5 linked regions of the Nothobranchius furzeri genome follow. The protein of the gene in region 2 binds, or shares a complex with, the protein of the main gene of each other region. Links are inferred from orthologs where the notes say so. Each region holds a gene or a part of one and is shown on either strand. Other genes may lie near its edges. The genes, in order: b9d1, transmembrane protein 237B, cc2d2a, tmem231 and b9d2.

What was found.
Region 1: transmembrane protein 237B (region 2) and b9d1 share a complex: the UniProt entries of both Homo sapiens proteins name them as parts of the tectonic-like complex. The link is inferred for Nothobranchius furzeri from reciprocal best matches to the Homo sapiens genes TMEM237 and B9D1.
Region 3: transmembrane protein 237B (region 2) and cc2d2a share a complex: the UniProt entries of both Homo sapiens proteins name them as parts of the tectonic-like complex. The link is inferred for Nothobranchius furzeri from reciprocal best matches to the Homo sapiens genes TMEM237 and CC2D2A.
Region 4: transmembrane protein 237B (region 2) and tmem231 share a complex: the UniProt entries of both Homo sapiens proteins name them as parts of the tectonic-like complex. The link is inferred for Nothobranchius furzeri from reciprocal best matches to the Homo sapiens genes TMEM237 and TMEM231.
Region 5: transmembrane protein 237B (region 2) and b9d2 share a complex: the UniProt entries of both Homo sapiens proteins name them as parts of the tectonic-like complex. The link is inferred for Nothobranchius furzeri from reciprocal best matches to the Homo sapiens genes TMEM237 and B9D2.

The regions. Positions count from the first base shown.
Region 1 is NC_091752.1:49,446,092-49,453,123, reverse strand, and holds b9d1 (B9 domain-containing protein 1), read right to left. Parts: upstream 3,831-7,032; 5' UTR 3,642-3,830; coding exon 3,579-3,641; intron 3,455-3,578; coding exon 3,386-3,454; intron 2,381-3,385; coding exon 2,272-2,380; intron 2,196-2,271; coding exon 2,099-2,195; intron 2,009-2,098; coding exon 1,946-2,008; intron 1,269-1,945; coding exon 1,201-1,268; intron 1,129-1,200; coding exon 1,010-1,128; 3' UTR 552-1,009; downstream 1-551. UniProt on the Homo sapiens protein: Component of the tectonic-like complex, a complex localized at the transition zone of primary cilia and acting as a barrier that prevents diffusion of transmembrane proteins between the cilia and plasma membranes.
Region 2 is NC_091742.1:64,215,026-64,220,875, reverse strand, and holds the end of transmembrane protein 237B, read left to right. Parts: intron 1-1,051; coding exon 1,052-1,083; intron 1,084-1,170; coding exon 1,171-1,184; intron 1,185-1,262; coding exon 1,263-1,331; intron 1,332-1,568; coding exon 1,569-1,697; intron 1,698-1,782; coding exon 1,783-1,876; intron 1,877-2,057; coding exon 2,058-2,212; intron 2,213-2,275; coding exon 2,276-2,408; intron 2,409-2,478; coding exon 2,479-2,670; intron 2,671-3,454; coding exon 3,455-3,528; intron 3,529-3,608; coding exon 3,609-3,696; intron 3,697-3,805; coding exon 3,806-3,927; intron 3,928-4,001; coding exon 4,002-4,066; 3' UTR 4,067-4,196; downstream 4,197-5,850. UniProt on the Homo sapiens protein: Component of the transition zone in primary cilia. Required for ciliogenesis.
Region 3 is NC_091748.1:39,033,741-39,040,154, forward strand, and holds part of cc2d2a (coiled-coil and C2 domain-containing protein 2A), read left to right. Parts: intron 1-19; coding exon 20-173; intron 174-256; coding exon 257-393; intron 394-485; coding exon 486-617; intron 618-978; coding exon 979-1,170; intron 1,171-1,254; coding exon 1,255-1,361; intron 1,362-1,495; coding exon 1,496-1,636; intron 1,637-1,804; coding exon 1,805-1,961; intron 1,962-2,079; coding exon 2,080-2,351; intron 2,352-2,497; coding exon 2,498-2,675; intron 2,676-3,079; coding exon 3,080-3,233; intron 3,234-4,671; coding exon 4,672-4,819; intron 4,820-5,918; coding exon 5,919-6,057; intron 6,058-6,142; coding exon 6,143-6,346; intron 6,347-6,414. UniProt on the Homo sapiens protein: Component of the tectonic-like complex, a complex localized at the transition zone of primary cilia and acting as a barrier that prevents diffusion of transmembrane proteins between the cilia and plasma membranes.
Region 4 is NC_091744.1:86,203,290-86,209,313, forward strand, and holds the end of tmem231 (transmembrane protein 231), read left to right. Parts: intron 1-984; coding exon 985-1,151; intron 1,152-1,533; coding exon 1,534-1,662; intron 1,663-2,816; coding exon 2,817-2,960; intron 2,961-3,386; coding exon 3,387-3,468; intron 3,469-3,570; coding exon 3,571-3,676; intron 3,677-3,815; coding exon 3,816-3,978; 3' UTR 3,979-4,448; downstream 4,449-6,024. UniProt on the Homo sapiens protein: Transmembrane component of the tectonic-like complex, a complex localized at the transition zone of primary cilia and acting as a barrier that prevents diffusion of transmembrane proteins between the cilia and plasma membranes.
Region 5 is NC_091743.1:62,501,291-62,507,220, forward strand, and holds b9d2 (B9 domain-containing protein 2), read right to left. Parts: upstream 3,499-5,930; 5' UTR 3,061-3,498; coding exon 2,533-3,060; 3' UTR 2,377-2,532; downstream 1-2,376. Other genes in the region: poc1a (POC1 centriolar protein homolog A), read left to right, coding at 2,178-2,192, 3,840-3,924, 4,055-4,226, 4,427-4,606, 4,794-4,901, 5,791-5,906. UniProt on the Homo sapiens protein: Component of the tectonic-like complex, a complex localized at the transition zone of primary cilia and acting as a barrier that prevents diffusion of transmembrane proteins between the cilia and plasma membranes.

The sequences.
Region 1 (7,032 bases), on a different chromosome or scaffold from region 2:
GTTTGTTTTTCATTTGTGCTAAACCCGATGGCATTACAACTGTATAATATAATTTATCATTTGTACTATTGTAACATACTGTTCTTCTGTATACCTTATTATTCTGTGTAATGGGTTTATTATTTTTGTAGGAAAAGTCATTGTGGTATTTTAACGGCACCTAAAACAAACGAGCGCGGGCAGCACCCTGTTGGACGAGGACGACTGTAGCTGCATCAGTTCAAAATAAATTGTGTTTCACTTCCTGTTTCAGTCTGCAACATTACTGGTCAGCACCACTCAGATTTACTTAGTCCAGGTGTGTCCAATCCTGGTCCTCGAGGGCCGGTGTCCAGCACATTTTTGTTTTAACCTGCTTCAACACACCTGATTTCAATCAGCAGGTGATAAACAGGCTTCTGCAGAGCCTGATGAGCTGCTGCACAGGTGATTCAACCAGCTAATCAAGCGGTTTGAATCAGAAAAACCACAAAACCTGCTGGTTACCGGCCCTCCAGGACCAGGATTGGACACCCCTGACTTAGTCAAATACAAATCAGCACAACTCAGAAAAGAGACGTTACATATTTAAAGGATGACAGGAATAACCACTGGATCAGCATTACATTACGACCACTGGCATGTTTGTCGAGAGCAGAAAACGACTAATGGTGCTGTGTGAGTTTATTTAGAGGTGTCTGGAAAAGCCGAGTTTAGTTTCATTTAGTGAAAAAACCTGAAATTCATGACTGATATGGTCAAAGTTTCATAGGAACCCGTTCCAGGTGACTCCATGTTTTCCCTACAGCTCAGTCAGATGCCAGCTTTAGGATCAATCACAGCATCATCCAGACTCCACCTTCCCATGTGACCTCCGTGAGAAGATAACTACAGTCAGAGCATCCATTTATCAGCCCCTCTAGTGTTCCTGTGTCGGTTTCTGACTGGTTGTTTTCCAAAAGGCGAGTCAGCTCAGAGTTCAGAGGTTGTGGCTGACTGCTCTAAATCCACGTGGAGGAGTTGGTGTGGCTCAGTCCGGCGTGGCAGAGTGGACGTGTGACGGTCCCACGTCGTAGCCCATCTTCTTCATGTCTTTACTCATGATGTGAAAGGAGACGGTTACAGAGCCTTGGGAACAAACTCTTGTCACTGAAACGGAAAAATATATATATGTTAAAAGTTTTATTCTAGAAAGGTAAAAGAAGAAAAAGCACCACTAACCTTCTCTGCCTTCACCCTGGGCCACGACCTTAGGGTCTGTGTACTCGGGCCGCCGCCCCAGCAGCCAGCTGAACAGAAATAGGATCTTTTAGCGTGTTTCTCTGAAACAGTTCACAGCTTCCTGAATAATTTGCATCCTTCACGAAGGCCGTGCTAATGGCTAGTCCCAGTTGCTGCTGTCCTAAAACGGCACAGGTCTGCTAAAGCTCACTGTGGTTCATCACATTCTTTACAAATGTAAACATCCCCAATAAACTAGCATTTCTGGTGCATCAGGGGTCAGGTCCTGCAGGAATTTATTCATATTTCTGCTAAAATGTCTATGTGATGAGAACCTGACAGCAGTGAAATGACCTCACATGGCGATCTATGACATTTAGAGGCCTGGATGTGGCTCATCAGTCCTCTAGGATGCACAGTCTGTTTCTCTGACCAGATAATTAGTAAGTTTTACACAAAACGCTCCTCAAAATGGCAAAAAACTCCATCAGATCTAATAATAATCACATTAATATTCAGTTTTCATGGTAAAAATGAAAAGAAAAACACTAAAAAGACTGAGAGCAACATCAAACAAGCCCGAGTGTGAATCTAAAGTATCCAAACGTGACAAAGATTAGTCAAAAATGAACCTTTAAAACGTGTGTTTGTGTTGGAAGCTTGCGTTCCACATGAGAGGAAGATGAAATATTTACTGTTCCTCTAAAGATCACGGGTTTCCAACAGCTAAGGAGACCGATCTCACCCTGTGAACTTCTGAAGTCTCCACGTGGGCTCGGGAACGAACATGGGGATGGATCTTTTATGTCTGACAAGTGAAAAACATTCAGATCTGTATCTTCAAACCGAAGTAACACATTCTGTATGCTTTTAGGTCAAACATGAAAGTAATACTGACTGTCCAGGTGTGAAGGGGATGTGCGTTGCTCCATAGCCTCTGACCACATCGTTACCAAACACATCTGGTCCGTACACACTCACCACCAGCTGAGGCCCTGGGGGACAAACGGCGTTAATCCTAAAGAGTCACACATGATGATGATGATGATGATGAAATTGTGATCTACTCACACCCAAAAGGATTTGTGCTCTTAAACGTCGTCTCCAGAGGAAAGTTCCAGACTAATCTCTGTGTCTGACTGTTTTTGCAGGTTATTTGAGTTATTCCTTCTTCCAGTCCCTGGAGAGTCACATTCGTTACAACACAACTCCATCCAGCCACCGCTGCATTAACTATCTATAAACCCTGTTCTGTATCCTTGAAAGTCACGTCTGACGTTATTGGGCAATACCATCGTCCGATATTGGCATTAAAATGTAACATCGTTGAGTTATCTTTTTTACTGTTTGAATGACACAACCTTTGCATAACATGCTCACATTATACATCAAACTCCTCAAACACATCAAAATATGGCTGATCTGAGGTTTCGTTTGTTACTGTCTGCATCTGTGTGGGTTCGTGTTCAAACGTAGTATTATCCGTAAAAAAAAGCATATTGAACATCTTTAACAATAAGGTTTATTGTTATGAACCCATCTGTAAACACAGCATCCACATATGTGGAAAAAGCCTTGAGATATCATTTTGTTTATATCTTACAAAATTGTATTATTACTCAAGGAAACGTAATTAATTATTTTTAATTTAGAGCTAAAAAAAATCCATTATCAGTTAGTATTTGCTTTAAATAATATATTTCTGAGGTCTTACAAATCCAGAACAGATAGATGAAAATTAAAAATGCACAATAAGTGCTCTCAGAACCCAAGACGTTTATTTTACATGAACGAAGAGTGGAAAAGAGACATCTTGCCCAATAGTGAGCCATATCTGATCACCCATATATTTCCTCTAGTTTCTATATTAAAACATTTCAGAAAGTTACATGTTTTTTACACTTTTGACGTCATGTGATAGTTATGTTTTTATAATATGCTAATAAATTGTTTATATAGCAGTCTGATCTGTGTAATACATACAGTCTAGTAGAAGTATACCGGCAAGAATCCGGCCAGTTTAGTCTCATTCTCACCCTTAATTCGTGCATAATAAACACTTAATGGCTTTAAAACGTTGAAAACATTAATAACATCACTATAATAAATGTATTAGTATTGTAAAGTGGTACCCAACAAGCATACTTCATGTTTCATCCTAAATGCTAATGGTTGTAATACTCACTGTGGTTGGAGCCCAGTCGTGGCCGTACACGTAACAATATTTGCAGTACAGATTGTCATGCTCTGGAAACTGAAATAAAAGACAAACATCACCATAAACAACCCGGAACATCCCGGATGAAGCACCAAACGAGCCATTGTTGCTAATGCTAACGCTAGCAGCTAAGCTAAAACTAGCTAAAAAGACGACTTACGTTCGCTCCCTCAATCTGCCCGTTCACCGTGAGGAGGAACACGCTCGGGTTGTTTGTTGCCATCGTGACTCCAGAGGTTCAAGAAAGTAAAAGTCTGTTAAATAAGTCGAGCTAATTTGGTCAGTCTGAAGCGATCCGAGGTTGTTGCTAAGGCAACGTTTACTCCTCCCTATGGCTACCGGTTTGGATAAAATTAAACGCAATTCTTATTGGTGATATTGGGCCATCACGTGTTAAAATTAATTTTAAATAGAGCAAAAAGTAATTCAAGAAATTCAGTCAAAATACTTATTTTTATAAACACCCGAAGTTTATTAAAAGGAGAAAAGAAGGCGGAGAAACAATATAAAAACTCTGGTTTAATTGTCTAGGCGTCCACTAGAGGGTAGCAAAATCAAATACACTGACTTTTAAAAATGCAGGTTCGTTCTCATTCACGACTGAAATCACTTCACGACCAAACATGTTTGAAAATCGTTTTTTAACCTTATTACCAGCCCTGAAAATGTTATTTCTCAACCATCGTTTTATTGTTTTGTAGGCCCAAAGGACTGCAATGTCTGTTCAACAATAACTGAAACAAAACAACATCCAAAACAAGAAGCCTAACTTAAAATTTCCAGCTAACTGGACACCTCCAGTGCTGTATATAAACATGGATGTCTGCTTTTCCTACTGCGCCACATGCTTGAAAATCAGAAATGAATGAAACCAAAAAATCTGCATTCCAAAGTATGTAAACCCCTCTGGCACGTGTGTCTAAATACTGTGTTTTGTTTCAGATGTGACAAAAACAGCTCTTTCTTTCAGCTGTTTCATACCCAGCAACCTTTTTTTTTTTGCTCTTCTCTCAGCTCTCTCCCACACAGTGCTTCCTGCTGTCTCCAGGGCCCACCCCAAGTCTTCTGACCTTTGCAGCTCCATAAACAGCAGCTCTTATTGCACCTGCTTCCTTTTATCTCCCATTTTGTCTGCCAAGCTCAGCACCTGTATCACTTTTTCACCTCCAGCTCTTTTTTGATCTTCGCGATCATATGGCAGGAACTCGATGCATTTAGAAATCTAGCCTAACCCTTTCTGACCACTTGGACCCATCTTCTGATGGCTACTTCCAGCAGGATCATGCACCATGTCACAAAGATTAGATAATCTCTAACTGGATCTGGAACATGACCATGGGTTCCAGTTACCAAATCTCAGTCTGGTCCAGAATCTTTGGGATGTGGTGGAATGGGAGATTCCCCTCATGGATGTAAAAGTGGGATGACATGGACCAGAATCTCTGAGGACGGGTTCCAACACCTTGTTGAATCTATGACAGGAAGACAGGGAAGGCAAGTTCTGAGAGCATAAGCCTAGAAAACTAGACAAACCAATGCGGTTCAAAAATATTTTACCCTGCAGGTCGGTCTACCCACACTCTGTGGCCTAAACAACTCTTGGTCAGGCCAATCAGTGATCCTTGTTTGGCTCAATTTAGTTCAGTTTACCAATACAGCGCCAAGAGTTGTCTCTGGGCACTTCACAAAGTAAACATTGCGATTAGGGATGGACAATATATCGGCATCAATATCAGTATCGGCCAATGTTAGTCATTTTTAACATATCAGTATCGGTTCGATAAATAAAAGCGAGCCGATATTAACAACCGATATTTTTTCCATCTCATCTCCATTTGTTTGCCTGTTTCAGAGGGTGAGGGGTGATGTGTGGTTGTTTAGTCATGTGCACAGTGGATGTAATCATATCAGAAGCGTACATGTGTGTGTTGTGTGTACATAATAACGTAAAATCAGCTTTAATCATTTTCATTCTATACAAAATCTGCTGATTTTAGAAGCATTAATGTCAGTTTTTCAGTATCGGCAAATATCGGTTATCGGCCATAACAGTGATCTTTATATCGGATATCGGTATCGGCCCAAACATTTCATATTGGTGCATCACTAATTCTGATTGAGTTCAAGTCATTATGTCTATTAATTAAATGTAAGGAAACCTAGCAGATTGCACCGAGTCACTGACTTGTGTGAGAGACTTTACAGCAAGCATGTAGCGACATTAGAAAGGAAAACTCCCCTCGCTTTAAATGGCTTTAGACAATTCTGATTTGGGCTTTTCTTTAACCGTTTTTACAAAACAATGCTGTCAATTTGCCACAACGCTGTGGCGGCATCTGGGAGCCGTAGGTTGTTCATAAGTGGTCAGACCGTGGCGGTAATGTGGTGCAATCGTGTTCTTTTTTACAAAAGATTATGTGATGGTGGCATAAACAGGGTACGAGGGAGACCCCTGTACTGCCATGGACTTCTGCTTAACTTGGACGAAACGTGCTTTTTATTGTGATCGAAGCCCGGCTCATTACGTTTTTTTGACAAGCCGCTCCTAATAGTGCCTGTCCCCCACAGCCCCCGTGCAGCCTCAGGTGATCTGACCACTAGCTCAAACGGAGAGAAGCCCCAGGATCGCTGCAGTGCTCCAGTTTTCAGTCTCAGCTCATTTTGCTCGTATTTACTTTCATTTTCAAAAATAGTTGCCAGCCGGAGCTCGGCAGTAACTCCCCACGTCACCATGACGCCTCCCTCTGTTGCGCCAAGGTGCAATCGCCGTTTATGAGGCAGACAATTACCGCAATATTACTACCAAGCAAAGTGGAAAGAATGATGCACAATTCGCACAATGCAATGGCGCGTTCATAAGACACACCGTTGTGGTAAGATTACGCCGATTTGGGGGGTCTTGCAAAAAGGGCTTTTGACACGTAAGCAGATAGAGGTGTTTAAGTACTTTATTTAAAAAATGTATCTGTTTGCTTCTTCTTTGATGGTATTTGTCGGACTGCTCTGTTGACTGACATCCGTAGCGTTGAGGACGTCGTGTTGTTCATTGTCATGCAGAGACAGTTTGAAAGACAACTGCAGATTTCGCCCCACGACCGAGCTCCGTCTATGGGTCGTGGCCTTCCTACATATTTACATGTATAGGATGGCTTGCTAGGCTAGTCAAACCCAGTACTACCAAAGTATATCTAATAAAGGAGCAGCTTGAAATTGAGAATCCCAAACTATCTTCTTCTCCAAACTTTTTCGCTCCCTCATTTTAGTTTAATCAGCTCTTTTTCCCCCGCTTTTCTTGGCCTACGTTTCTCCAAAACTCAAATAGAATTACTATTTCTAGCACTTTTTCTTTCCTGTCCAACATTTCTCCATCCCTCCATTTCTTTGTCACATCACTTCACTTTAAAATAGCTAAATTTGTTTCATTTTATTTCCTTACCGTCTAATTTCCCCTCCTTATCCCGGCACTTTTGTGTCCAGCCTGTTTCATTTCGTCCCATCACTCCATCTACCTCTCCTCATCCCGCTCATCTCACCCACATCTCTTTATTCCTTCTCCATCTCTCCCCAGCCCTCCTCCTTCCTGCCAAACACCTCATTTAGATTCAGACGGTTCC
Region 2 (5,850 bases):
AAGAAACAAGAAAAAAGAACAAAATATGTATTCAGGACAAAAGTAACCATGCTAAAAATGCAGACGTGTGTTTTATTTTTTTCCCTCTGCGTTTTAAAGGGCTTTATGCATGTTGAATAAATGTAGTGGTATCATTTTGGATGACGGCATGCTCGTTAAACAATAAATGTTTACATAAAACAAATGTGTTCTGAGTGCAAATTTAAATGTATATATGTCATTTTACTTATAATATAGTAATGACCCCTCCCACTGCAGGAGCTGCAATGGGCAAGGTGCATTGTGGGTAGGCAAGTTCTTAGATAATTTGTTCTGTTTTGGCCTGTACCGTGTTGCTTCCGTGCAACTCCCGTTATGGTGGGCGAACGTTACGCTGCCGTTGGAGGGATGCACGCGGAATGTTTCGCTGCCGTGTGTCTCCCGTTAGAGCTGGGCGGGGAGGGGGAGGGAGGATTTCGTAGCCGTGGCGCAGCGCCACACCTGGACCTATGCCTGTAACTATAATTATTTATTAAGGACAACTTAAAAAAGTTACATTTCCTCCAACATTCTAAAGCTTCAACTTAAAAATGTCTGGTTTGATTTGGTAAAATATTTACATCAGCTAAAAAAAATCTAACTTAATTTCTTTGATTTGGAACATCCTGTAATAATTGATTTGCTTCAGCCGCTAACTTTAGTTCACGTGAAGTAAAAAAATTGAGGTTACACAAAAACATTTATTACATCAAGTCAATGCAAAATTATTAGGTGTGGCAGAACACGTTTTTTAAGTTGAGGCAGTGCACATTTTTTCCAGTGTATGACAAACAAAAGCTTAATAAATAAAACTAATAAAGTGTCTCTGCTTTTAATACACCGATTCTTACTGACTCAGATGGTGCACCTCAGGGATCAGTCCTCGGTCCTATTCTGAAACTGCCATATTACGCAATATTTTCAAATAAATTCTGGCTGTGTTGACGGTTTCTTTTTGTCACTTTGGAATGATTTATTTGTTCAAAGGCATTTTGAGGTCAAACGAATGAAAATGTGTCTTTGTTTTCTGCAGAAAGGACAACGAGCCCTTCCCACAATGCCCAGGTAGTAAAACAGCTTTTGTTTGGGAAGTTTCTGTGAAACAGCAGAAAGAACTTTAACTAAACTTTTTCTTTTGTCTCTTTTTTGAAGTCAACACACAACAGGTGGGTCAGAGGTTCCTATAAACACATTTTATGACTATTTATTTTGATGGATTTTACTCATATTCAATATATTAACAGATCTGCCAGTCCCAAAACGGAAGAAGAAGAAGATGAGGAAGGATACGAATGGAATGAATGAGAAAGGAGGTGAGAAGCAAACATCAGGAGAGAATAAACAGTTCATTGAACGATTTTACAGCTTTTTCTTTGGGGTAGACTTTTATCTGACGTTTGCCTAAAGACGTATTTTCATGTTGGATTTTTTTCACTACTTATTAAGGCCAATTTTCTGTAGAGTGATTATTGAATCATCTTAGAACAAGACAGATGTCTTTGTGTTGGAATTTTTAGCAAAATGTCTTTTGACTTTGACTTATTTCTCAGATCAAGCAGTGGAGATGGGAGGAGTCAGCAGCCGGCGGGCGTCCCAGGTCAACGATCAGTTGATCCTCGAAACCACGATAGACACGTCAACACACTGGAGAAGGAAGAAGAAGAAAGCTGCATCGATAGGTCAGATCAGAAGACTTCTGTTCTGCAGTTTCGCCTGCAGACGCCCGCTGTGATTGCTCAGATGTACTTTACATCTGGGTTTCAGATCTAGAGGACGATCAGGCCGAACTCGGTGATGGAGACGCTGGAGATCAGACCACAGATGGGGAGGAAATGATCAAAAAACCCAAAAGAAAAAAGTATTTTTTACTAAGCAGTCAGTCAACTGTACCCAGTTTACACATTTGAGCATCAGTGTGTTTGGTGTCAGCTGATCAGATGCGTCAGATTTTAATTCCAAGTTAGATAGAATTCAAGCAGAGCTGTTTTAACAAAAACACGAAGTTACAGCAGATCTCAGCAAAGATGCGTCTCTTTCAGGAAATCAAAAGTAGCTGAGTCGCAACTTCCTGATGAGTTTGAAGTTGAAGAAGAGGACATCATCACTGACACCAGTCCAGTCCCCCAGCAGTCCTTGTTCTCAGCCCCGCAGGTTCAGAGCCAGTCAGTGGGGAAGGTGTTCATTGAGAGGAACAGTGAGTGTCTGGGAAAACGAGCGTTGAAGTGTTGTTCTCGCTAAACATCATGTTTATGTGCAGAGCGGTTCCAGGCTGCAGAACGCTCAGACTGGAGAACCACCAGTGAGCAAACGGACAACATGGCCGACTTCCAGCAGGTGCAGCCTCTGTGGACCACCAGAGACGTGTCTGTCAGAGTCCACGAAGGATTCAGGTGAAGGAAAATGTCTCCTTAACAGTAAATTATAAACATAAACGTAGAGTAACGTTCTAGTGTGTTTCAGGGTGTTCGGTGTGTATTGTCAGGGCTTCCTGGCCGGCTACACCGTGTGGAACGTGGTGGTGGTGTACATGCTGGCCGGGCAGCAGCTCACAGCTCTCACCAACCTGCTGGAGCAGTACCAATACCTGGCGTACCCGTCCCAGTCCCTGCTCTACATGCTGCTGGTCATCAGCACCGTGGCCGCCTTTGACAGGTTAGGGTTAGGTCCTCCCACTGGGGATGTTTAGAAAATTCAAACATGTTACAGGAATGCAAAAGGCAAGTACACATGAATGAATTTTGATTGGTAGAAATTCTCGTGAAATCAGCCACAACCATCGAGCCAAACGTACCAAAAGGATCATAAAATATATTCAGGATTTCAGGACAAACCTAAAGCTAAAAACTTCCTGAGTCTCCTTTTGAAAACAAAAAATAAACATAAGGAAACATCAAAGCAAAACCTGGTGTTTTATCTCAGACAGTGCCGTCTTGTGGCAGGAAAATATATTACACCTTTAAGCCCCTCTCACTGCTTCTCTGATTTCAGCTGTAAGCAACGCCTCTTGGTCGTGAGCGTGCACCCCTAGCCGGCTCAGTTTCATTCAACATTTTCGGACCTCTCGCATCTGATTGGTTAACAGCAACCCAGCTCTTCGCCGTTTGCTCAGCAACGTTGATGTTTCATCTCCACAAATAACTGGAGGAATTCTGCCGTGTTGTGGAGTTGCCAATGCTAATGGTTAGCTTCTACTAGTCAAGATGTGCTTTTCTTTCTCCGGGACGCTAAAGCAACAACAGCCACATTGTCAGCGTGACGTAGATCTGACCGGCTTTTCTAATGCGAGCGTTTCCTCGTCTATTTTCTATCAACGGCCAATGCAGGAAATGGGGTAGGAGTCTGTTTTCACGTAGCCATATTTGACCGCAGGATACGTAAATCTACTCACCAAACACAACGAAGCTTGAATATTTCTTCTGTTTGTCGTTGTGCTCAGACTGAATCTGGCCCACGTTTCCGTGGCTCTGCGGGAGTTTGTGACGCTCAGTCCAGTGGCTCTCGCTTCATTCTGTGAGTCCAAGTCATTTCCTCATAGATTATTCACCAATCTGATATCTGCTTGGTTTACCGTTCTGTTTTATTTTCTTCAGTGTATTTTTCAGCACTGGTCCTCTGTCTGAGCCAGCAGATGACCAGCGATCGAATCAACCTCTACTCGCCCGTCAACGCTACGTTATGGTGAGTCCACCACAGCAATCTCATGTTTACAGCTCGGCGTCTGGGCCGTGGAGGAAGTTCAGTCTGTCATTGCTGGGTTGCTGGTTTGAACCCAGATTCTGTACTGCAGGTCTCCTGGATCAGAGCACCAGATTCTTCACCCATGGGTAACCATCAACCTGGTGGTGGCTCTGCTGGGGGGGTTGGCTTGGATCTTGATTGCCATCAGCTCTGAGACAGATTACACTGAGGGTGAGAAACCAACACACAAACTCTAAGTACCCTAACTTAAAACGGAGACATCTAATGTAATTTTCATTCTTCAGGTTATCTGAGGTCCATGGATATTGAACCTCCAAAGCCAGAAGAGAAGTCAGAAATCACTGCCTGAAAAAAGAAATTCTGTCCATCTGCTTTCAGTAGCAGGTCTGTTAGCGCCCTGCACATATTTCTCTGGTTGAGTTATATGTTGTTTCTGTAATGTGGTTGTTTCTTTGTAAATAAAGTTATTTTAACAAAACCGTCAAGTGTTTCTTTATAACTAACAAAATCAAATAGAAGTAAAATATTTAAATTCCTCAATTACCACTATACAAATACAAAAATAAAACATAATATTTAGATTTTAACATTCAATAAAAAAGAGAGTCAAATGCATCCAGTGTAAAGTAGTTCTGTCTCATATAAAATAGAATATAAAAGCTTTTAAAGTCAACACATGGCATATGAGGAAACTACAGATGCAGCTTCCCTCATTCATCGATATAATGAAATATTTAAATCAACATAATGGGATCGATAGAGCATTTTGTATTGTCTGTTCTCCTTGATCTCAGCAGCACTTGACACTATTTCCCACAGCACCCTCCTCAGCAGTCTGTCATCTAGAGATTCAACAGAAGTCATTCAAATCCAATCGTTGGTGTGCCCCAGGGCTCTGTCCTGGGGCTCCTTTTTTCATAATTTAGCTCCTCCCTCTAGGTTACATCTTCCATAAACACAAAATTAAATTTCATTGTCACGCCAATGACACCCAGCTCTACCGCTCAACCAAACCCACAACTTCACTTGCACCCTCCTCTATATATCTGTCGATGGCCCTCCTCCCTGACCCTCTGACTCCAAGAAATTCATTCCTGGTTCACTTCCAATTTCCTCAAACTCAACAGTTCTAGAACTAAAGATCTCCTCGTAGGCACGCCTAATACTCTCTCCAAACAGTTTCCCCATCACTATTGACAATTCAACAGTTACTCCGTCTCATGTTAAGTCTCTTCTTAACATGAGGGTCTCTTAAGGGTGTCATCTTCGACAGCACACTTTCTTTTCAAACTCACATCATCAATATTACCTGGTCTGCCTATTTTCACCTGCGTAGCATCTCCCGTCTCCGTCCATCACTTATCCCTCACACCACTGATATCCTTGTCCACAGCCTCGCCACATCCAGGAGAGATTACTGAAACTCACTTCTGTTTGGTCTCCCCAGCAAATCCCTCCATAAACTGCAGCTTCTACAGAATACTGCAGCACGTGTCAACACTAGGACTCGTCCCCCCCCCCCCCCCCCCCCCCCCATTCTGCAACAACTTCATTGGTTACCCATCAAACAGAGAGTCAATTTCAAAACTCTGCTCATCACATTCAAAGCTCTCAACAACATTTCTCCATCCTACATATCCTATCTCCTTCAAATCGCCACTCCTGTCCGTTCACTTCGTTCCTCTTCTGCTCCTCAGCTCGCCTCGTCACCATGGGAAGTAGAGCATTCAGCCGCTCTGCTCCCCACCTCTGGAATTCTCTTGCCCCTGACCTTTGCACCACTCATTCTCTCCCTCTTTTTAAATCAAAACTAAAACCCCACCTCTTCTGAAAAGCCTTTAGCTCCTAGTTAAATTTCACAGTTTTTTTTACTTTTATTTTTAAATTTAAATAGTGTTTTAGATATTTTTGTACTATGTTTATGTTGTTTGATTTTATCTCCACTGTTGTAAAGTGTCCTTGGGTGTCATGAAAGACATTTTAAAATAAAAATTATCATTATTATTATTATTATTATTACTATTTATTTATTTATTTTTACAGGTAAACAGTGTATTTCACTGTTAAAGAAGGATTACATCAGGATAAAATAACAGTAAAGAGCTAAATATGTCAGCTAAAATTATATTAATT
Region 3 (6,414 bases), on a different chromosome or scaffold from region 2:
TTTTCTGCACCTGCTTAAGAGCGATGAAGCTCACCTGGTTCAAAATGCAGATGACTTGTTTGTCATTGATCATTCTCCTCAAGACTTCCTGGTAGTGAAGAAGGCTGAATATGTCAGTTACCACACACGTATTCAGCAGGAGAGTGAACTGTTCACACCGAGCTTTCGAACTGGTAAAACATGTGATTCACACTGGTGACGTACAGCCGGCTGCTCGTTACCTGGAACCGTGTCTTTATGATTCGTTGTGTTGCAGTGCCAGCTTCGGTCAAACTGCCTGAAAACATGAAGCCTCGCTTCCTGGAGGAGGAGGGTCTCTACGTGGGAAAGAGGCCCGCCATATCTCTGACCAATGAGAACATTCTAGAGAACCGCCTTTTGAAAATGGACGAGGTGTCAGCTTGCTGCTCTGCTCAAACAAATAACTGTCCTCATTTTGATGTTAATATTCAAACGTGTTTTTGTGATGTTTGTTTCTCCTGAAGGGAAGGAAGTGGTTTGGAGATGATGGGAGGATCATCACTCTGCCTGACCCTGTGAAAGAATCGTCCACGCGACCGCCACTGGCTGACATGGAGGAGGACCTTCATCCTGCACTGCAAACTGTTTACCGGAGGGTAGTTTTAGTTACCAAGAAATGAAACCGCAGGGTTAATAAAAGGAAGATTTTTCATTTTTGCTGTTTTTATTAGGCTTCCCTTTAGTAAAGATTTATTCCTATAAGTAGGAATAATAGGAGTCCATCCGCTGTACTGGCAGGCTGTAATTAGATCATTCTTGCTAACGGACAGGGACAAAGGGCAGATTTAGAGAAAATGCAACGCATTCAGAATCTTTTAATATACAAATGCTTCTGTAGTTTAATTGATCTCATCTTTAATCATAAACACACAAACAGACATGCAGTTAAAAACAAATGCTGAGAGTTTTGTTGTGCAGCGAATGCTGGATAATGTTGTTATCTCTGCTGTCTCTCAGCCGCTGAAGTCCATGTACGGTTCATCAGACCCCACGGGGGACTACCAGATCGATGTCAATGTGTCGGGGCTGATCTTCTCCCATCACCCTCTCTTCAGCCGTGAACACGTGCTGGCAGCTCGTCTAGCTCACCTGTTCGACCAGTATCTCACCAGGAGGCAGAGTAATCTCTCAGGACACCTCACTGACAAGGTAGACTTCACCAGATACTGTGGAGAGGTTACCACGGCCGTACCACAATGCTTTGACACAGCTGAGTGTTTGTGTCCGCTTTAGTTGAATGGTTTAAGGAATGCTTTGAGGAATGTGGTGAAGGTCCACGGTGATCAGGACCTCCCTCAGGCCCTTCAGAGGAGGATTTTTGAGTACAGCCTTGAAGTGAGGTGAGGTGGCTCATTTATGGGCCACTCCCATCGGTACCGGGCCGACCCGGGACCGATGGGAGTGGCCCATTAGATCCTAATATGTCCAGAAACATGTTGGACAGAGTTGGCAGAGTTTCCCATGAACGTTCCAGGAATACTCGACACCTGAGAGATATGGAGCAGGAGAAGGACAGAACTCTGCTAAAGAACATCATCAAAGTGTGGAAGGAGATCAAAGCTCTGAGAGAATTTCAGACATTTACTAACACACCATACAAGCTCTACCTCAGAAGGTAAGCTCTCCTGTTCCAGCCAACCCTGACTGAAAACATCATTTAGAAATTTCCTTCAGTTTTCTATTATAAATCTTAACAGAATTATGTTAATTATACTTATTGCAGCAGTCTGAAAGGTTTTCTATTCATACCATAAATGTGCTGCTTTGTTTCTTGATGCTTCAGAGAGAACGTGGACCTGGCTGCAGATGAGCACATGTACGAGGAGGAAATCCTGACAGAAGCTTTGGAGATAGAGGCAGAGCATGAGGAGGACTACCAGAAGAAGCTGGCAGAGTACAAGAAACAGCAGGAGGAGTGGAAGCGCTGGAGGAAGAAGCAGGTGTCTGACTACTGCTGCTGGAACCATCACAAACACCGTGGAGTAAAATAAGGCCAGCCTTGTTCTTGTAGGATTGCATATTTATTTTTGCACATATTTTTATATCCCATGTTTTCAGAAAGCCAAAAAGAAGAAGAAAAAGAAGAAGAAACGAGGTCAGACACAGGATGATACAGACGAGGAAGATCAAGACCAGGAAGGGAGCGAATCAGAAGGACCCTTTGAGGAAGGTCCTCCTAAACCAGAACCCCCCGAGAGGCCGGACTTTGACTCCATAGAGCAATGGGTGAGAGAAAAAGCCTCGAGGATACGCAGGAAGCCAGGAGAGGTCATTCTGACCCCAGAGCTGTCTGCATCAGGAAGCATCACACCCAGTGAACTCTGTCCCAGGTAAACCGTATTCATCACAAACTGCAACACCCCTTTAACTGGCACGTTTCATGTATTTATGGAAATGTTAGTCGATGGCATGAGAAGACTGCTTATTGTAGTACTTTACATGCTTTTATCCTGTTTGTTATGCTCTCTCGTTTAAGGGCTGAGGTTGCTCGAAGAGAAGATGTTTCCAAGCGATCGCTTTTCATCAAAGTCCTGTACAATGACAAGGAAGTTTCCCGAACAGGCAGCTGCTCCCTGAGATCTGACTTCAGGGTGCAGTTCACCCAGCTGTTCCACCTCAAGATCCTTAACTGTCCCCAGAGCATGAATCTGCAGGTGGAGTAGAGGAACTCTGAATGCACCGCAAGGTTGTTACTGCTGCAGCTGCAGTCTGTTTCTCATCAGTTCTGTGTGTGTGTGTGTGTGTGTGTGTGTGTGTGTGTGTGTGTGTGTGTGTGTGTGTGCGTGTGTGTGTGTGTGTGTGTGTGTGTGTGTGTGTGTGTGCGTGTGTGTGTGTGTGTGTCTGCGTGTGTGTGTGTGTGTGTGTGTGTGTGTGTGTGTCTGCGTGTGTGTGTGTGTGCGTGTGTGTGTGTGTGTGTGTGTGTGTGTGTGTGTGTGTGTGTGTGTGTGTGTGTGTCTGCGTGTGTGTGTGTGTGTGTGTGTGTGTGTGTGTGTGTGTGTGTGTGTGTGTGTGTGTGTGTGTGTGTGTGTGTGTGTGTGCGTGTGTGTGTTGTGTGCAGGTGTTTGAGCAGATTGGATCATCCTCCTCCCTCCTGGCTCAGGTGTTTGTTCCGGTACCAGAACCCTCAGTGGTTACAGGCAGCGCTCCTGTGGAGACGTTTGAGTTTAGCAGCAACCAAAGAGTCATGTTTGATCATGAAGGAGTAGGAAGTGGTAAATACTGTTGTTCATTTCTGCTTCACTCGCATATGTACAGTGCCGTGTAACATTCCTGTTCCCAACAAGTGTTCCTGTTAAGATTTACTAACAGGATCATTTTCAGTCAACTATGGTGTGCAGTGTCCTTAAAGTTCTCGTTCACTGAGAAACTATAATACTTGTTTTTGGAAACAGTCTGTCATGCTGAGTTTCACATGCAAGCTGATCATGAAAATAGTTTCTACCCCTATTTCCTGCATTACTCTGCCGATAGAAAACAGACTGTGTGGTAAAGCCGTACAGATCTACGTCACAGGGGAAAACTGCCTCGCCCTTCTTGGCTTGCCACCACCCACAGAAAAGCTGTATTGATTTAGCATCCAGGAGAGAGCAGAGCACATGTCAGCTAGTAGAAGCTAATCATTAGCATCTTCACAACGTGGCAGAACCTCTTCAGGCTTGTGTTGTTTGTGGAGAGAAATCATCATTTGTTACCCAAGTAAGAAGAAGGATTGAAGGCAGCAGAAGAGTCAAGTTACTGTTAGCCAATCAGAGGCAAGATGTTGGCATATCATGAATATTAATGAGTAAGTCTCCAAATCCTGCTGCGCCACCCACCCACACACACACACAGCTTCTACACTAAACAGCATACAACATTTTAATCCATACTGTAGGCCTCGGCAGATTTATAGAACAAATGATTGAATGAGAACTTTCAAAAATGAAGGCAGAGTCTGAAAGATCTTAAAACTTGCAGATTTATAGTTTAGGACTGTCAGAAATGATTGAACTAAGCAGTAGTTCAAGTCTCTTAAAGCGAGGTTTTGTTGAAATGTTACGATCGATCGACGTCTTACTTGTAGCTATGAACAGCTTCAGTTAGGAGTAACAGAGATTGGTTTTGACTAAACATTTACAAACGTTCCTAAAACTTCACAGCAGTTTATGCAGATGCTATTTTATAACCTTTACCATGCCATCATTTTTCACATTTGAAGTATTTTCTGGCTGAAATGTCATAAATTCAAGCCAGGAAGAAACTGGTCTCCTTAGTTTTAGAGTCACCGCTGAGTTTGATGTGAATAGCTGTTTAATATAAAATATATGGTGATGTAAATGTTTATGAAATAGCACTTACATGAGCTGCTAGTGTTTTAGATTAGTGTTGTTTAAAGATGACACAAACACTTTGTAATTGGCCCTACTCATACTAGCTGTTAGCTCATCGATCTGAACTGACCTGTGTTCCTGAAAACTGAAATAGTTACCTTTAACAGGACATATGCCAACTGTTTATCCTTTTCACGAAATCTCACTTGAGACCCTCTGAGCTGTCCCTTTAAGGTTTTAATCTCAACTCTAGTCTCTGTCCAAGTATAAACTGGATTTTATGGGGGCATGGGACATTTTCATGACCCTCCTTGTCCTTCCTTGCTCTGCGCCTCCTCAGATGTGCCGCTGTCCTTTGAGCCTGATGGAAGCAACAAAGTGATCCTGCTGACCTCTGGGAAGCTGGCATGCTGCGTTTCCTGGGGGATCGGGGAAGATGATGTACCGCGCGCTCCTCCTGTTTCCCAGCAGCTAGGTGCTGCACACAGGTAGTCTCTCTAGGAGAGATCCACTGGTTTAGATTCTTTACCAGTGGGGTTCTTAAACTGGGATCTCTGACGATCACAGGTGTGATCAAAGTTTTTCTGCACAGATGTACGTAGTCATAATTACACTGATCTACTGAGTGTGTGAGTGCATGCATCAGAAACGCTGCTATACACACACGTGTGTTTGACTGTACTTACTGTGATTTTTGGACTGCAGAGAATAGAATAATAATGGAAAGGCTGCATTCAGATTTGGGGCAGCAGTAGCTCAGGTGGCAGAGCGGGTTGCCTCATGATCGGAGGGTCATGGGTTCGATTCCAGCTCCCGCCAGGGGTATCCTGCTGTTGAGTCCTTGGGCAAGACACTTCACCCAACTTGCCTGTGTTAGTGGTGGTCAGAGGGGCCGACGGCGCCAAATGGCAGCCTCGCCTCTGTCAGACCTCCCCAGGGCGGCTGTGGCTACAAGTAGCTTACCATCACTAGCAGTGTGTGAATGTGAGAGTGTGTGAAAGCGTCTTTGGGTGTCTAGAAAAGCGCTATATAAGTTCAATGCATTATTATTATTATTATTATTATTATTATTCATAAATCTGTTGTGTTTTCCTGTAAGACAGCATTTAGTCTAGAAGTACAGCAACTAGCAAACACTATGAACACCATGTGGTATAAAGATGTTGGAGTTGGAAAATGATGAAATGTGGAGCCATAAAATATTTCATCTGCAGATGAAACAACCCAGTTACACGGCCCAGGTTTCAGGAGGACGTGTGTTTCCTGCTTTAGTTACTGATATTTACACATGCCTTCAGCTCCTCTCAGAAAGACGTATGGAAGCTTCAAGATTCTTTGAATGTTTTAGGAAAAGGTTTAGCGCTCGTGACTTTTGGGAATGCTGCTGAAGTGACCAGGAAGAAAAGGTTTGGAGCAACTGGTCCCAGGTGTCAGTTTTCCAGCAGTAGTAAATCCCACAGAGCACCCGTGACACAGAAGAGTCCATCATTGACTTTGGCTCTAAACATTTGGGCTCGCCTACACTAGCAAGCCACCTGAGCAGGCTTTGTTTCTGTGATGTTAACTCTAATCAACCCGATGTCTCAGTGGTTTGGGGCATCTGGACGCAGTCACTTATATCGGTGCATCTGGACTGTACGACATGAAGAAGATTAGTGAGTGGGCCACACAGTCACGACTGGATCCCAATGATCCAAACAATGCCTCCATCATGCAGCTGCTAAAGGTGAGCAGCAGAACCATTCTGTTGGTGCTGAAGATGGCTCAAAAGGAACCCGGCTGTGACGAGGAAGCTGTTGGTGTGTTGACAGGTGGCCAGCAGCGGGGAGGTGACCGCTCCGGACTACTTCCGTCTGGAACACCTGCAGGAGGAATTTAATTTTGCGACTGATGAAGAGATGGAGAAATCCAAACGATTCCGCCTGCTCAGGCTGAGGCACCAGGGAGTCCCCGAGTTCCGCAACTACAAATTTGTTCCTGCGTTCTCCAGTGAGACGTCAGAGGAGGTGTTCAAGGTCAGAGTCTGGCAGATACACACATCAGAACACGCAGGATGGAGGTTTCTTTTCATTCACTTTGGCTG
Region 4 (6,024 bases), on a different chromosome or scaffold from region 2:
TTTTGCTAAATCATATGGAGAAACTCTGAAAAGCAGTTATGTTCAGCAACAAAGGCTGCAGAACTTTAGTTGATCATCTTTGAGCCAGAAACCTGCTTGTGCAGCTAAGTCTCATTCTCATTTTACACATACCTCTCAGTAGGTAATTTGCAGTTTTTTTTTTACCCTGAAGGTATTTAATTCTCCAAGTAGCTTTCTACAGATTCCCACTCTTAACCCTGTTGCAAAACAAAACTAATAAATCTGGAAAACTCATCTAATATTTACCAATCAGCATCCATTTTGGCTCATGTGATATTTAGACACTGCCAATAAACTAGTTCACTTATTGAAAACATACACAAATTTCTCTTAAAATTAAGAATTTTTTGCATTAAGATTTGAAAATGTGCTCCATAACTTGTGATTTTAGCACGACCAATAAAGCAACATGGCAACGTCAAGTTCTTGTCAATGTCTGGAAATCTCACTTGTGTTAATCCACCAGATTTTACAGGAAACGTTCCTGTTCACAAACTTAATATGGAAACAAAAACACATGGTTTACTCCGCAGATCACCTTAGCTTGTGAGATTTATAATCTCGACAACAACTCGAGAGCTTCTTTACAAAACCTTCAGTTGCTGAGATGATAAAGTTTTATAGCAGCAATAAAAATAAAAGAGTAACTTACCTGATAACAGTGCTTTCACACATTGTTTTACAGCATCTAGTCTAAATGACAGCTTTGTTTCTTTTTTTAACACACCACTGACTGTTTCCAATTGTCATTTACCTAAAAAAAACAACGTTTAAAATATTTGACCATGTTGAAAATGATTATTTTGGATGTCAAAGACATTTTCATGGAAGAGCTGTTATTGCCCGTGTGAATTAGCTTAGTGGACGTTCACGAGAAGATGAGGTGGAGAAAGGAGTTGAGTGGAACTGTATCTGACGCTCTGAGCAGATAGAGTTCACTGCTTTAGTTTCTTCTCATTTCAGGTTTCTGGATAAAACGAAGCATTTACGAAGAACAGCCGGTTGTGAGGTTCCAGTACGAGACTTTGCTGTTAGCAGCAACCAGTGCTCAAGGACATTATGTTGCCTGGAGCACTTTCCCTTTCCTTAACAACATGCTTGGGACCAACCTACGTATCCCCACTATCTCTGTAAGAAAACTCAACGTTCCTCTCCCTTAAGTTATTTCTGAATCACTGGTAAAATCTCTGCAGCTTTGATTTCATATTTTACACCTAAAAGGCTGAGACTGACTGCCAACCAGAGCAGGATGAATACTGTTGAAGTAAAAAACATGCTGGTGCTCAGCCAGCCAGCAGTGAGTCAGAACACAGAAAATTCACATAAAAGACTTAATAGGTGCTTAATATTTGTGAAAGTGAAAACATAAAGAAACCAGAAAAAGCTAAAACACATTTTTACTCTAAAGGAGGATCATTCATTTCCACGAGTCTCTTGTGCCTCTGCAAGATTGTCTTTTGTAATTATGTATTTTTGTTTTGTAAATGAAAATTGTGTTTTGTTTTCATAAAGGTGAGAGAGGAGGACCTGAACCAGGATGGGAAACTGGACCGTTTGAACCTGCAACTGCAGCTTCCGCTGAAACCTGATGAACAAGTTTACAGCATTCAGCTGCTGCTCACCTTCAGCTACCAGCTCTTTGTATGTATCCCACTCCAGTAGCCGTCTCACAAAGAGCTCTTTCCATGCAGAGGAAGAGGATTTTTATTTGTGTCCAACGTGCTTTGAAGAAATATTTCAGCCACTTCGTCTTTGCATTAAAGGGACATTATGGAAGTGTGACAGCCAAAACATGTATAGAAATAATAAATGTCTTCTTCATACATTCTCCTGCAATGCCCTGGTCCTGTAGAATGAGCCCTGGCATTTTTACTGTGATTGCCTGTTTTTATGTAAAATCACAGAAAAAGAGAGATGCTCGGGTCGAGCAGGCTGCTTCATGCGCGTTCACGCTCAGGCATCGCCCGTAGCGTTTGCTATCCGTAGCTTTAGCAGCAGAGAGAGAGGCAGTGCCACTTTGTCGCTGTTCCTAACGCCTAGTGACAAAGCTAGCTACATTTCTGAGGACCCTTAGCTACTTTCTGTAGAACTTTCTTCTAGATATTTCCTGCTAATTAGCAACAAAATAGCCATTTTCACTCCGAACCGTTCTTTGAACGTTGTTTCAGCTGTCATCAAGGATATAAATGTTAGACAGTCTGAATGTTACTAGAGTGTAGCTCACCTTGTAAGATATCTGACTCTCGTGCAGAAGACCTGGGTTTGATTCTGGATGTGAACATAGTTTATTTAGAGTTTATTTTTTACATTAATGGTATATTTTTTACAGTAAGATGCCCAAATTTTTATTTGAGACTCGCTGAACGGCATTGAATTCACAGATAAAAAAGATGTGGGTTCAACTTTCATTTTGGAACAATTTTTCAAGCAAGGGAAGGGAATGATCTGAGCATGCAGGAGGACTGACCCGTCATAAACCTTTGTCGGCTGTGCTGAAGAGAAAGGTACAGAACCAAATTATTTAATTAATTATCTGTGTGTTCTTTTGTCCTCCGGGCCACACACACACACCTACACACACACACACGGGACTGTCTCAGCTGTTATTTTCGTTAAGGAGTGTGCACGTACAGCGTGCACGCCTCGTGTACGAGCCTACTACTGAAGCTGCTGTTATGCTTTTGGCCTGAGGGGGCAATCGCAGGCATTAAAATTCAAAAGTCCGAAAAGTCCCTTTAAATTATTGTTGTTTAATTTAATAGTCAGAGCATTTCTATTTCTCTGGTTTCTGCTAGCGGATGTCGACAGTGGTGATGCAGAGTCTGGCTTATGTGCAGCACTCCTCACCTGTACCTGGAGTTAAACTGTTCATCAGTGGAGACCTGAGGCTTCAGCAGAGGACACCGCTTCCTCATCGGGGCCTGTACAACATCTACAATGTGAGAATAGTGTTTATTCCTTATTTATATTAATTTATCCATCCATTGTCTATACCCGCTTGTCCATGCGGGGTCGTGGGGGGGCTGGTGCCTATCTCCAGCAGTCTCTGGGCAAGTAGGCGGGGTACACCCTGGACAGGTTTCCAGTCCATCACAGGACAAACAACCATGCACACACACCTGCGGGCAGTTTAGAAAACCAATCAGCGTGACAGTCGTGTTTTTAGACTGTGGGAGGAAGCCAGAGTACGCAGAGACACCACACATGCACAGGGAGAACATGCAAGCTCCATGCAGAAAGACCTCAGGTTGGGATTTGAACCCAGGACCTGCTGCAAGGCAACAGCGCTAGCCACTGCTCCACTGTGCAGCCCTATGTTAAATTAATATGTTAAAGTATTATTTTTTGTGTTTACTGACCTAAAGGTGTCAGTGATCGATGGCACCAGCCCCTTTGCAAGTTCCTATGACCTCAGCAACATTATCAGGAGCTACCAGGAGAGAAACGGTAAGTAAGCAGAGGGATTTATTCTCTGCCGACGCCCACGGTCTCGGGTTTTGTATAATGAAGTATTTATAATTTTATAATTGTCTTTTCTTTTTTATTTAGTAACAACTGTGCTGTCTTGTCCAATGCCAGTGTGGACTATAGGACATGCTGCTGGTTCACCTTTTGAGCTTAACGCTGAAATCCGCTACCCGCTGGAGCTCATCAGATATCCTTTCATATCTAAAAGATCACCAAAAGGTGTTGTCTTGTGACTGATTTACCTTTTCGTCTTTAGGAGACGGATTACATAAACCATGACTCAGAGTTATAATTCTTCTAACGTTTTCTTAACTGCCTCCCTCCACTTATCGTCCTGGCTTCTGGGAAACCATCAAGTTTGCTTGGATCCAGTATGTCAGCGTTCTCCTCATCTTCTTGTGGGTCTTCAAACGCATCCAGAGATTTGTCTTTCAGAACCAGGTTGTAACAACCGTACCCATACCTGTAGGAAAACCTCACCTGTCGTGATGCAGAGCTGAAAGTTTATCTTTTAGGTTTTGACCAGATGACACCTTTTGTCAATTTGCTTCATGTCTGTAATGTTTGTTCTTTGGACTTCTCGTTGTTGATTCAGCTATATGTTATTGTCTAATCTGTTTATTCTGTAGGCTTAAGCATTCTAAAAGATGTTGTTATAAGATCATATACATCCTGATCTGCATCGGGGAACAAACTGTTCTTCTTTGTCACATTAAAACAACTTACACATCGTAGATATTACAAATCCTATGTTAAATTACGTGAGTTTCAACAGTTTAGTAACTTTTTTCATCTTATGTAGATTTTTCAACTTTTTTCTTATTTTTAAATCATTAAAAAAATTTTGTTTGATTTTAGCGGCTCAGTTGTAAAGAACATAAGGATATATTTTCTATATTGTTGTTTTTTTTTACACATTTGAAACTGGTTTTGACAAAAATAAAGACTTTTTAAACTTATTATAGCTTTACTGGGTATTTATTAAACAACGTGTGAAAGGAATGAGTCGTTTGGAACTATCATGAGTAAAATAGGAGTTCTCGTATTAAAGCTGTTAAAGCACAACTTCTTTCCTAGGATTAGTTTTTAATCACGTGTTTGTGCTTGATGAAAAAGATTCAGTGGTCAAATAATGTAAAAACTAATTTTCACAGACAAAACTTCAAACATGTAAGCAGGCTTATCCCTATAGTGAACACAGTGGTGGCAGCATTATGGTGTGGGGGTTGTTAAGAAGCAGAATGAAAGAGACTGTTGAGAACTGAGGCCTAAGTAAATGCAGCCAAATCCTATAATCCTCTGCCTCTCCTAAAATAAAATAAATCTGTGAAGATGACAGCTCTGGTTTTCATTTTGAGAGTGTTGTGGATTCTTAAAAAATTCATGCAGCAGACTAAAGACTTGATTCAGCTAATTTCCGTTCTCTACTTTGTCTTCTGGAATCCTGACACATTCTGTTTATGGCGGCAAACGGATGATGCACATTCAGAACGGGGGATATTGTAATCTGCTGTGTTTTAGAAACTAGAATTTATTTCCTCTCAGGAGGTGCTTGGCAGCGTATAAATGCATGTTTGTTTCTGGGATGTGAGGGTGTGTTTGGGTCCGGTTCCACATGTGTTAGATCACTGAAACGTCCCAGCTCTGGTTCAGGGTGGGACAGCTACAAGAGTTACACCCATCTAATTACAACAGCTTCAACATTTTAGAAAAATGTGTATCTACTGTACTTTAGACAACCCCAACTTGCAAAATCTTTTTGAGAAAGTCTCAAAAGCAAATTTGTTTAGAACTTTATTTGCTTATCTTTGAGCCAGTAACCACCTTGATCCCTCCTGCTTGTGCAGCTAAGTCTCATTCTCATTTTACACACACCTCTCAGTAGGTAGTTTGCAGGTTTTTTTACCTGAAGGTATTTAATTCTCTAAGTAGCTTTCTACAGATTCCCACTCTTAAAACAAAACTAATAAATCTGGAAAAGTCATCTAATATTTACCAATCAGCATCCATTTTGGCTCATGTGATATTTAGACACTGCCAATAAACTAGTTAACTTGTTGAAAACATACACAAATTTCTCTTAAAATGAAGAATTTTTGCATTAAGATTTGAAAATGTGCTCCATAACTTGTGATTTTAGCACGACCAATAAAGCAACATGGCAACGTCAAGTTCTTGTCGAGGTCTGGAAATCTCACTTGTGTTAATCCACCAGATTTTACAGGAAACGTTCCTGTTCACAAACTTCATATGGAAACAAAAACACATGGTTTACTCCGCAGATCACCTTAGCTTGTGAGATTTATAATCTCGACAGCAACTCGAGAGCTTCTTTACAAAACCTTCAGTTGCTGAGATGATAAAGTTTTATAGCAGCAATAAAAAAAGATTATCTTACCTGATAACAGTGCTTTCACACATTGTTATGCACAGCATCTAGTCTAAATGACAGCTTTGTTTCCTTTTTGAATAAACCACTGACTGTTTTAAACTGATTCCAGATCAGCGCTTCAGGGAAACGTCCCAGCTCTCTCC
Region 5 (5,930 bases), on a different chromosome or scaffold from region 2:
GACATTATTTCCTTCTTTGCTCATCCTAAAATGCTATTTAAGTGACTTATTAAAAAGTTAAATTAGCTGTGTTTAATCGTGTGTGTGTGTGTGTGTGTGTGTGTGTGTGTGTGTGTGTGTGTGTGTGTGTGTGTGTTTATTTGTGACAAAGACTTAATGCATTTTTACAGCTAATGAACAAGGAAGAACTTCATTTAATTCCATTTCAACTAACTCAACATAGATTTTACAATAAGAAACCTCCATCCATCCAACCATTCTCTTCCCCTTATCCAGGGTTGGGCCGCGGGGGCTGCAGCCTAAGCAGAGAGGCCCAGACTTCCCTCTCCCCAGCCATTTGGGCCAGCTCATCTGGGGCAATCCTAAGGAGTACCCTGGCCAGCTGAGAAACATGGTCCCTGCAGCATGTCCTGGGTCTTCCTTTGTTCTCCTCCCGGATGGACGTCTCCGGAAAATCTCACCAGGGAGGAATCCAGGAGGCTTCCTAACCAGATGCCTTAGCCACCTCAACTGGCTCCTCTTGATGTGGGGGATCAGAAGATCTACTCCAAGCCCCTCCAGAATGACCGAACTTTTCACTCTATCTCTAAGGGAGACTGTGTGACTAAAACAATAACATATGAGTAAATCTATTTTCTGCAGTTTTTCTAACTTATTTGAATTAAAAACACAAATACCTGCAATGGATCATGTTTCTTTCTTTTTTGGGGGGGGATTAGTCAAATTTTCTGTGATGAGAGATTAATTGATTTTTTTTTTGTGGGGAGTTTGTCGATGATCAACAAGTGAAGCAAAATGACCCATTGCGTTTTGGTTTTGTAAAAGACACAACTGGGTACACGAACTCTTCACATCCCTCACATGCAGCTTCTAACTTAACCTTGACTCAAGGAGTATGTGATCACCATTTTCAGGATTCTGGTTCCCCTTAATAGTATGTCACAACATTCTAAAAACAGTCATGACAACATACAAGGTATAAAAACACAAAACACATATTCATTCAGTGATGTCACAGCAACATGATCAAAGTTACGGAGTTATGAAACCATTTGTGGTGTGTCTTGTCATGTGACACACTAACCTTACAGATGGAGCAGTCTAAAGGGAGATTGAACTTAAGTCAATGTTTATGTTGAGATGGTCAACAGAGACGGTTACATCCTGAAAAAGTTGCAATCAAAAAACATAATTTGTATTGGCTCTAAAAATTTGTGGTTTTTATCTTTTTGTTTTTGTGTTTGTTTCATTTAAAACAAGCTGAAGAATACGAAACAAGATATTTTACAGTTCAGTAAGACCATCTGACCTATATTCAGTCAGGTTACCTCTCTATAAGCTATGGCAACATGAGGCATATTTACTAAAGTGATGCTCTCAGCTGTATTACCCAGCAGACAACAAATTGAGAGGCTAAAAAGACTCATGTCTTGATGGTTTACTGTTGAATTGTGTATATTATTATGTGTTAAGTCATATTTTAAACACAAATAAGCAGAAGAAAGGGCCTTGAAGGAAGTAAAATGTTCCTACAGCTCATAATGGAAAGATTTTTTACTTTTTATGTGCATGTATCTCCGCATATTCCAATTTCTTAGGAGTGCATAGAAAATATTTTATACTGTAACTTCTGTATTGGGCTATTTTGTTATTTTAGAATTAAGCTACTGACTTCTGCAAAAAGACCATCCAATTGTTTAATTTGGATGTTTTTTCCCCGTCAATGCAAAAAAAAAAAAAAAAACATTTGTTCCAAAACATCACTGCACCGCTACTGACATCTTGTGGTCATATTTGGTTACTACACTCGTGTGCCCCTTGGTCATTTGGATTTGTTGTGCAAAAGAAAATAACTGCTTGTACAATCCGGAACTTCTTATTTTGTTATTCATCGTTTTTACATTTGATTGAAGTCTTTTTTCGACACAAACGTCCTTTAATGTCCAGCGTCCCCTTTAAGGACTCTGGCCAACAGCTCAGCGCCCAATCACGGCGCGTAAACTGAACTCTGTTGTTAGCAGCTAGCATTAGAAAAAACAATTCCAATTACCGGAGCGATATTTTCCTCCCTCTGTTCATTTCAAAACCCACAGTTGAGAACAATTGTATTTCGGTCATAATAGCCAAAGCAGCAACGAGCCTCTTTACTCGGGTGTACGTGCTAAATACCGGGAAAAATGACTTCTGCACTGGTGAGTTTGGCTAGCACTTGTTACTGTAGCAACTGAGGAAGTTCGTGTCTGATTTGTAGTAGACTACTTGTTTTGGTTAACGCACACACACACACACACATGTTCAAATATTCATAACGTTACAAATATGAAATATTAGGTATAGTTGGATTGATGGTAAACGGTAGATGAATAAGAAACCAACTTCAATGATAAGTGTTTATTTATAGCTGTATTTCAGGTGTAAAAACATCAGCATAGAAATGTACAAAACTTTGCCGTGTGTAATTTTTCAAAGGCATTTGCGACAAAACAAACTTTTTATAAGAAAACAATCAATACAACATTCTTATTTGACGTCTCAGCTCTCGACGCCATGTTTGTCAAAGTGTCTTATGATGACGCCCAGCTCCAGATTCACAGTGCCCATGGCCTCGGTGTGCAGTCTGTATCTGTCCGCTCCACTGTAAATCAGATCCGGGTTGCGGAGCTGGGGGCCTCCGCCGACAAATATTCGTGCTAGCTGCTCTTGCCAGGAGCCGAGCGGCCTCCATGTCACACAGCTTATGCGGTGATGTCCGGGGCTGGAGGGAACGTGGCAGTACCCGTATCCGTACAGCTGGTAGCGGCCGAATGAGTCCTGGTGCCACACTTGCAGATGAAGCTTCGGCCAGCCCTGGAGACCTTTGGTCGCATAGTGCAGATCAATTGGGTGGCTCCAGTAAGCCATTTCTCCGCTGTGGGGGGAATCCACCTGAGTCTGACCCTCCTTCAGCCCCGAGAGAAGACGCCATGCTCCCCCCGTATGAACTTCCCATTTGCAAAATAGGCTTTTTTGAGGAAACCCGCTGGCCCCGATGATCTGTCCTATAATGTGAAGCTCTGCCATTTCACAGCTGTCCGCTTTAACCAGAACATGCGACACACGGAGCCCGCTTTTATCAAAGGCTACAGAGCAACAAACGCAGCTCACGTCTCCTTGGTAACCCAGCCTGCCATAGTGTGCTCTTAATACAGCACTCCCTGAGCAGAGTCTGTCAGGCAGCACTTCCTGTCTAGGGCTGGTTCTATTTTTGAAGGCAAATGAGACACATTTTTATATCTTCTTGCTAAAAAAATATTACTTAACCTTTAATTTAGTAAACTAATTACGAATTTTAACCAATTTAATTAATGACGTGAAGCAGCTGTTACATAAATTACAATCATACCTGAAAGACTGAATAAAGGGTATACAAGAACCGCTGGTTTACTTTTTTCCGAATAACTATTTAACAGCGCAAGTTCAACAAGATGGCAAATGAAGTGCACTGTACTTTTTAATGTATTGTTTACATCTCAATGGTGCTTTATTTTTTAAGGTTATAAATTCTAAAAAGCTATTTATTTAGATATGCTTTCTCCTGCTTTTCCTGATGACTGTTCATCTTGCAACTTTTATATAACTCAATGGATAACTAAAGAAAGTAAAATTTATTTATATAGAACCTATTGTAGAAAAGAAAATCATGAAGTTCTTCAATGAAAATTACATAAAAAATAAAACATAAAATACAAAAAAGAAGAAAATATCATTTAATAACAAAAGTGGTCATAAAACAAATGAAAAAATAATTTCCAAACATAAACTTGTAAAATAATTGAAAATCTCTGTTGATTTCATCATAGTCTGATCCAACCCTAGAGAGAAATTTCAAGGGTCACAGGGACGTCGTGACAAGTGTGGACTTCAGCCGCAACATGAAACAAATTGGTAATATTATTATTATTTGATCTGAGCCTTTGTCCGTCTATATATTCACCTGTTATCCAGTTTGTTGTGTGCACATTGTAGTTAATACCAATCTCTTGCTTCAACCAGCTTGTGCTTCCTCCTTTCTCAGTCACAGGCTCTATGGATTCTTGTGTGATGATCTGGAACTTGAAGCCTCAGATGAGAGCTTATCGTTTCGATGGACACAGAGAAGCTGTAAACTCTGTCCAGTTTTCTCCATCTGGTCACCTTGTGGCCTCGGCCTCTAGAGACAAAACTGTACGTCTCTGGGTGCCCAGCATGTAAGTTTATACGTAGCAGCATTTTATGTTGTTTTCTTCTCATCAAGTTTCTCCAGAAATTATCACTCAAGACAAAGCTGTGGATTCCTAAAGGCAAAAGAACAAGATCTGCTGATTACTCTAATTTCATCATACCAGCGCCCTGAATAAACAGTGTGTTTGTCTGCTTTATGTATGAATAATACCTTTTGTGTTTGCAGGAAGGCTGATTCAACTGAATTCAGGGCTCACACTGCCACTGTGCGTTGTGTTAACTTCTCCGGTGATGGACAGAGCCTGGTCACAGCGTCTAATGACAAAACAATCAAAGTGTGGACGGTCCACAGGCAGAAGTTCCTCTTCTCTCTTAACCAGCACATCAACTGGGTCCGCTGTGCCAAGTATGAAACACACACACTCCCATTTAATACCACACCATGCAAGTTTCCCTGTGATATTTGTAATGATGAGTAAAGTGTTGTACAAGTGTTTAAAAAATTTAATATGTGATGTCAAGTTTTCACCTTTTTTTTTTACACTTTTCCTCTCAAATGTTTAATTTTAAAATTTTAATGTGCTTTTCTCCAGGTTTTCTCCAGATGATCGTTTAATTGTGTCCTGCAGTGATGATAGAACTATAAAGCTATGGGACAAGAACAGCAGAGAGTGCATTCATTCTTTCTTTGAACATGCTGGGTGAGCTCGAGATGTATAAAAAATGTATTGATGAGTGCACAAGAAAGAGTAGAAGTATGAAGATATGTCTAATATTTTTATCTGAAGTGTATTTAAAGGTAAATCTTACAGTATTGAATTTTAGCTCATTTAAAGTTTGACTATGGAACATGGACAATCTGGCAAACTCTGGTGTTCAAAGGTGGTATTGCAACAACAGGACACATTTTCCAGCTGCTGGGATGTTGGTTCACTGCTGACACGTTCCAGCACCAAGTTCAGAGACAAATCATACAGGATCAGAACTGATTTCTACTAATAAGTTTATTTTACAACAGTATTTACCGTTAGAACATCTTCTGGGCTCAGATTCAGCTGCTTGACTTGTCAAGTCTGCCATTTTACACCGTCCCAACCTCACCTTGCTGAGTGGACTTTTTAGCGCAACGGTGCCCTCTAGTGGCTGGTAGATGTAAACATAAATGCAATGTCGTGCCGACAGAATCAAAATTGGGTTATTTTTCTTTTTATGTATAGCTTTAAAAGGAGAAACTGTACACCCATTCTGCACACCTCTGAACACCCCGCAGAGGAATTAAATATTTTTTAAATATAGCTTTTTATTAAAATATTCAATATTCTAACTTTAATAAGTTTTCTGTTCTTATCTTGTACACAGAGTAGCAAAGTTTCTGTTCTTTTTTACCATGTTTGCTGATGCCGAAACTGTCAGTAAACAAGGTAAAAAAAAAACAGAAAATTTTCTACTCTGTGTACAAGATAAGAACAGAAAAACTATGGAACTAGAACATAACAAGGAACTTCAGCTCATGTTTAAAAGTGTGGAACTTGTTCAGATGCATTTTAAATTATATGTTTGGATCTAATTGCTTTCTCGTTTTTCCCATAGTTTTGCAAACTATGTGGACTTTCATCCCAGTGGAACTTGCATTGCTGCAGCGAGCACCGACCACTCTGTGAAGGTGTGGGACATCAGATCCCATAAGATGCTTCAGCACTACCCTGGTAACAAAAGATAAAAGACATTTA